Linked DNA regions of Drosophila melanogaster. The protein of the gene in region 1 interacts with the protein of each later gene in a pairwise test. Each region holds a gene or a part of one and is shown in the gene's direction. Other genes may lie near its edges.

What was found.
Region 2: the proteins of bin3 (region 1) and stw interact in a two-hybrid assay, tested with the Drosophila melanogaster proteins (one large-scale study listed by BioGRID).

Annotation. Positions count from the first base shown.
Region 1 is NT_033778.4:6,212,705-6,216,461, forward strand, and holds the start of bin3 (bicoid-interacting protein 3), read left to right. Parts: upstream 1-1,863; 5' UTR 1,864-2,047; intron 2,048-3,492; exon of another isoform or gene 3,493-3,757. Other genes in the region: Ttc7 (tetratricopeptide repeat domain 7), read right to left, coding at 1-454, 512-623, 765-1,047, 1,108-1,237.
Region 2 is NT_033778.4:5,412,190-5,415,946, forward strand, and holds the start of stw (straw), read left to right. Parts: upstream 1-1,554; 5' UTR 1,555-1,762; coding exon 1,763-1,892; intron 1,893-3,757.

The DNA of each region.
Region 1 (3,757 bases):
ATCCTCCTCGCAGCGTCCCACCTCCAGATTTTCCGGTAAAAGGAGGCGAGTAAATCGTGCCCGAGACCCCTCTCAAAAGAACCTCAGCTAGCTGGCGGGCCAGCGTGAGGCGCAACGATTGAGTAGCCCTCGTTTCGATGGCGTTTAGCATGATTCGATACCGTTCAACGGCCTCTTGAAGCTTTTCCGTCTTAATAAGCACTATGGGTGCCCGTTGCAGGGCGGTCTCTAGGATGGCGCCCATCCTGCGGTTCATTTCCAGTCCACTTGGACCACTCGCCGGTATTGTACTGCTGATTGCAAAACTGCTGCTCGACGGCTGCACAGTAGAGGCGTTTACATTCAACGTAGAACCAGCTGTCGAGTTGTTGGACGAGCCACTGCTTCCACTAACGAGATCGTATTCCTGCAGATAGAGCAGCCCCAGATCAGATGCGCGCTCAAAACAGCTAATCTGGAGTAAGAAATTATTAAATCAGTTACGTTTTAAAACTGAAATCGAGGACTTTACCATTTCCGTGTCCTTTTCGGCCTTCTTAAACTTAGATGACGGCTTCGTAGTCTGCTGCTCCAGACACAATCCCTTGATGGCATACGATTCCGCAAGGATCTTCAGGCTGCGACTTTTATATATATGTAAGCAGAAGTGATAAGTTTTGCAAATTTGCTATTAATTAAGAGTTGATGTGTACATTCATCTTAATTTGCAAGTCCCCACGTAGTAGATGAGAACATTTTGATTAGAAAACCTTTTCCCAACTTACAGGGTCAGCTCCTTCTCGGCAAGCGTGTTGAGTTCTGCCTTGACGAAATTGTCTAGACTCTGCTCATACTCGCCGCAGGCAAAGCACAGCTTGGCCAGCAGCAAATAGGCGTCCAGGGCGATGCCCGCCTTCTGGCCACTCTCACCCAAAGCCAAGTGAAGGAAACGCCGGGCCTCCGCCAATCCAGACTTGGCGCGACCAAAATTTGAGTCTGACGCGAGAGCGTTTTCCTCCAGGTAACTCTCCAGACGAGCTTCCCCCACCAGAAAGTTGGCCAGGCACTCTGTTCCACGAAAGAAGGCAGTCATTCCAGGAGTACCGTCATCAGCGGAAATCTTCTTACCATTGTGCGGGGACCCGGTCTTCAGTTCATCCGTTAGCTCGATGACCCGGTGCCACTTGCCCTCGCTGCGACAGCTCTCAATCAGGGCCTCCACTTTGGTTGTGGTGTTACGCATGTTCTTGTTGGCCATATGTCCACTTCACGGATAATGTTGTCACTCTTTGCTTGCTGTGTGTGCCAGTGCGTGCCTGTGCTCGCTATAAAGCGGGTTCCTAAGAGCCTAAAGCGGATTCCTTCAAGACTAATCAAATTGTTTTGCAAACATTGGAGTTATCTGTTTTCTTCGCTCTTCTTCTTTCTCACATATGGCAGCATCTGTTATCGACAGCAACTATTATCGGTAGTCCCGCTAACAGCGTGCTGTAAAGCGATTTGTGTACCAGTGCTGTTAAGACATCTGTGGTCCGTCCCCTGTTAGCTGCTAACATGCTAACTCTCGGTCAGCTGTTCCATCTTTTTTTTTCCACAAGCGTGTGCAATCCATCAGAAGCTGTTCATATTGTTAATTGAATCGATAAGACCCAGTGTGGTAGCTCTTTCTTAAAAATATGAAACCTCTGCTCGCCAAATAGAACATTATCACATTATCCCTCATATTAGCAAGATGTCTTCATTTTATGTTGTTTTCTTACAACAGTTATGCATATGCATATGTACATACTATTATAAACTTCATTGTTTTTCGATTACTAATTTTTTCATTTTTAAAATTGGCAACACTGGTGGGCTCTGTTAACCGAGAATATATATAAAAATATGTTAGTTGTAAGTGTTTTCTTGCAGGAGACTGACGCACTTATTAGAGCTCCGCGAACGGAATCATATTTTACGGTTTTTTTTTTTTTTTATCAAGAGTGTGGCGAATTTAACGGCAACAACGAAACGAAAAGTGAAAACAAAGTTCAAGTCGCCACTGAGCAATCGTGGGGCTTTCTGGGCGGTAAGTGTTTTGTCCTTAAGATTCATTTTTGTTTTGTCTAAAGGCGCAGCACGTGTGGATTTGTGTGCACACTCAGCTGTTCCTAGGGTTTCTGTTTTTCGCGAGCACACACAAGTTAGCAATCAGTTGGAAAGCTATGAAGAAATGGAAGTAGTCCAGGCAGAGTATTTGGACAAGAGTAGTTTCTTAATTGTGTGTGTGTGCATAAACAAACGTTAAGTGCATTTCAACCTTCTAATAGGATATGGACCAGAAGAGTGGTCCCCGTATACCCTCTCTTATCGAGTTGACTTCCACTTTTGCTTTCAATTTTAGGAGCCATTTAAGCAATCAAATTTGTTTTTCCTGAGTGACCCCTCATGCCAACCGTTCTCGCAGTCATCGATAACTTTTATCGCGTGCCCCTCAGAAGTCAAAGTTAATTGCCAGTCTTTTATTTTTTTGCCCGGCCTTTTTGAGTTTTTGTTGCTTTTCGAATGTGCAATATTTCCATTTGCATTTCCATATACAAAATCTTAGGTAAAACATATATACAAATCAACACAAAACATCCATGTCAGATTCCAGGCTTTTGGCTCCTCTCATTCTTCAAATTTCTTGCCAATCTTTTAGGCTTCGGAGAGCATATTATTCACCCCAACCGAAGGAATTCGTCAAAAGCGGTGGTGGGGGTGGGCAGTTGGTTCCAGGGATAATAATGGTGGGGCGAACGGGTCGGATATGTGGGTTAGCAGTTCGATGCACAGTGGCTCTTTTACCCGAACTGCCAAAAAACAAATCAAACTGTCTTATGGAGCTGCTATAAGTATTAAATTAAAAATAGATTTTAATAGAAAAAGTAAAAATAGGAGTCCACTTCGAACGCTCCCCTGGTGCGCTTTGTCACAAAGTTAACACTTTCCTACAAAACACTATAAAGTGTAATTACGAACTAAATATTTTTTTCATTTTTTCTATCAAGACACTCATTTATTTGAGTATCATGGAAACCGTAGTCAAATTTAAACAAGCCAGAAGATGTTTAAATATATATACATAAATGTTTATATAGATTTGTTGAAAAGTAACAGATACAAGGAAGATTCGGCCACGAAGCTATTTTTTCCCAAATAAAATTCAAAATTAAAATTATTTTCTCATTTTCATGTCACTCCGAATATTAGCTAAAAGTGACATTAAAGGTATTACACGCATGTGGATTATGGTTACAGTGTCTTGTTCTATGAGTTTCCCGTTTATGGAAAGGAAAGTAAGCGCAAAACTGAAAAGTTGAAAAAAGGCGGCTTAACAATTTTAAAGTAGTGGGTGAATGGTTCCCGTTTGCATTCTTAACTTGATACACTTATAAAAACTTTCACTACAGTTTATAGAAAATGTATAAAATTTTAAAAGGAACTACCTTTTTAAAAGTAATTTTTTTCTTATCCTCTGAAAGAAATCAGGTTGCTACTTCCAAAATAGTTAATTACTATTATCTATAGCCATTATGAAGGAACTTATCTAGTAACAAGTTTATTGGTTTTAAGTATTTTGAATTTTCCTTATTTAGGCTATATCATTTTCTCTCAGTTTTTAGGGAGCTATATAAAATGTGCGTAGGACAAGTTAGAATATAAGATGGGTGAAATAGCCAAAAGACCGTTTGTTTCATTGTTCCTGCTGCATTGCCGCTGCAGTTTTTGTCCCGGCTGTTGTTGGTTTAGGTCCCGC
Region 2 (3,757 bases), 800 kb from region 1:
TTGATCTCCACGTTGGACATTGAGGGCTTTCTTCCACGTGTTTCGTCCTTTTCGACAAACAGCATTGTGGATCATTTTGTTTGAACACCCGACAATTCGACCAATTTCAGCGTAGGTTTTACATTCAGAGATCATGTTTTTAATCAAATTTCTTTTTTCGACGGTACAATGCTTTTCGCGACCCATAACTAGAGAATTTTTGGTCTTCGTTTGGAACAAATTCAATTAAAACCTTTAATACAACTCCTTTTTTCAAAATTTGTCGAAAAAAATCCCAAATCACTCCTATTAATTTTATTCAACAAATACGTGGTCAGTGCTATTTTTGTTACCGTCTCATTTCGCGCGCTTTTGCAGCAAGTGCCCAAAAACAAAAAGAACCGTTACATTGAGAGAGTAAAAATTTCTTGCTCAGAGAGCCAACATATGGAACTTATTATTCATGAAATCTGACTTAAAAAAAAATAAACATTTTATAATTTTTTTTTAGCAAATCAACTTTCCATCTGCAGTAGTGCTATTATTTTAACCGCAGCTGTATGTACATATGCATACATATTCATATATTTAGTATCGTATATTATGTATAATTATAAATCTATGTGCTTCCTCTTCTATTTTATACATATACATTCTTACCTATTAATTATATACTTTGGAAGTCGGAACGAAAACGATATAACCATTGGAATAATCAAAACAAAACATAACAAAATATGTTCCATTTCTTGTTTATAATTTTAAAGTGCCGTTATTCACTTTAAAACACTTTTTGATAACATATGTTTTTGGTTCTTATTTGATAAGCATCCACTGTATCAATTATTTAAAAATATTACAGAGAAAATTATAATTTTGTTGTATTTGATCATAAATTGTTCTTATTCTTTTTATAAAAAAAAATGAAACATGCATTCATCTCCAACGACTAACTAGCTTTAATATTCTACGTATGTATTTATATTTACACTTTCGGTGCGCTATTTTATTTAGCATTTTATGTTTGTAGTCATGTGTTGCATACCTCTTAGTTTCGTCAATTCTTTTCAATTGATTTTTGTACACATGTCATTTGTTTATAATAGTAGTAATACTTTAAACAAGTATATTATAACGTGTTTAAGAATTTGCATATATGTGCTGACTTTTTGAAGGTGCCCTATACATATGTAAACCTTTAATAAGTAAAAGTAAAAGCTACATGCAAAAATCTCAGCACAGCACTTTAGTATTCATTTATTTGAGATCTATTTGTCTGAACTTTAAAACATTCCCTTCATATGATTTAGGCAACAACAATACAATAAAGATCCGTTATATTTCGTTTCATTTTCTTTTTCTATGCTTTGGTAAAGCTTTTGTGAGGTTGCGGCAGCTCTAGACTCGACCAACTTGCTCTGAGATCGTGATCAAGTTGGCTGCTGCAATTTCTTGCGCTCTCTGAGCCATGTCATGATTCACTGAGCCATTCCTTTCCCTGGCTCATTCGTAAGCTCGTTTTGCAGTAACTTTTCTACTTAAACATTTTATATAGTCGTACGTATGTAGCTACCGCTTCAGTTTGGTGCTTAAACGCGTTGCTCGTACTTCATTAAGCCGTAATCAATTCAGGTGGTGTTGCTATTGCTTAGTACACATACTTTAAAAATATATAGTCTTATGTTGTGAACATCCACCCAAAGTATTGTTAAATAGCTTAAAGGAATTAATAAAAATACAAGAAGAATAGTGAAAAATAAAATTATACGCCATTCATACAACTATGAAAGCCATGGATCTTAACGGATTTTACCAAACTTTTATTTCGTTCCTGATATGGGGTGCATTTTCCAATTTTCCTGAAGTATTTGCAGTACGTGTTGCCAACTCACAGCAAAATCAACCTAAGAAAGGTAAGGAAATCCCATCTTGGTAATTTTTTTCACCTAAGAAGTCTTGAAATATCATTTTGTGATTTGTCGACAGTACATATTCCTTTCATTAAAATGATTATTTAAGTGCAATACGTATATACTCGTATACATCTAAACATGACTATATTTCCAAGGGGTGTTCCAAAGATTTGGGGGATCTTTTGGGTATCTTTACTGTAAATTAATTGGAATGTTTTGCAGGACAAAACGTTGTTTTGCCACACTTGCTTTCCGTTATCGTTTTCATAAGAATATATATATTAGAATTATAGGTTGATTATTTGGCCAACCATATATTATATGGATCAAAACATTTTAAAACTTAAATACCGTCTTTACCTATTCAACCCATACGAAGTAGAATAGTAAAATTATACACAATTAAATACATATGTATGTGCAAATAAAGTGAAAGGGAATAAATATTCAAACTAAAGAAAAATTGAATGGTTTAGGAGAAAGAGCAGTGCAAGTCTACAGATTTAGGGAACTGGCCATATTGGACCCAATGTAGATAGATAAACGTACTTTCTAAAATTTTCCCATACGACGGGCTGGAATGGAAAATTGCCTACACTTTAGGTAAAATTTTCGAAACAAACAAACTACAATATTAATCGCTCTTTTCTATATTTCTTATACCACAAAATTTTGCTTGTATCTGACATTATTTTTGTTATTTATTAAAACTTTTTTTATTTAAATTGCCTTTTTCATCAATATATATTAAAGTTAACAAATTTATAAAGAAATCAAAATATTTAGCCTTCATAAGCTTACACTGGTTTAGCCTACCACTTACTTTGCGCAATAATGTTATACTTTTTTAATTTTACTGATAATGGTATTTCTTCAACTTTTTAATTGCTGAATCGCTGACCTTGTCAGATGTTAGCATGCTACTCCCTACAAATTACGAAAGTGCGAACACTTCAACAAGCTTCAAACTTTTAAATCGTTGAAACCCCGATAATAAGAAAACTCTGTAAGATTAAAGTAAAACAACAGGATTTATTTACTTCGGTCTTAAATTGGAAAGCATTAAAAAAACATATTAAGATCTTTGCTAATAGTTTCTAACTTACTACATATGTACATATGCATGTAACTAAAAGAATTTAACAACCAACATAAATAAAGATATATTAGATAAATACTAGTGATTTCTTTTGTCAGACCATTTAGTAAAAGTTATTTGTAAATTTTTTAGCTGAGAAAGAAAAGTAAGAATTTTTAGACTTTAAGAATAGTGTATAACTATTTTGAGTGAGTCTTAAAAATTTTTTTTTTGCAATTTTCATGGAAAATAATATCAGCAGATATGTATGTATGTTCGGATAATAATATTCGCAGATTTATGTACGTTTGTCATGAAAGTTGACTCCTGTTTTCAATTCGGAGGTCGTCATTTCCATCATTTTTTGGTATGATCTCTTAAAAACTATTCCATAGTTTTTTGTAACCGATTGTAATTTTTATTAATTCACAAAAATAATCTATGCTTCATTGCTTTTCGATTTAGAATACACACCAGATAAAAAAAGAGATATCCGAAACGCACTTGAAAAAAGTTTTTTCGCTTTCAATCGAAATTTTGTTTTGAATTTTAATCTACACATCTTTTAGAAGCTGTGTTAGCGATTTATGTCATTAATCAAACACACGTTTTAAGTGTTGAAATCCAATTTTAGCAATAATATGTCAAAAATGAAACTCAGGAAGGTGATCGAATTTTTGACCCTTTTTCAAAAATACATGTACATAACTTCCTAAAATGAAAAGCCAGTTCAATTTATTGTATATGTATTGTATTGTATATGATTGAAATGAGGTGATCACAATGA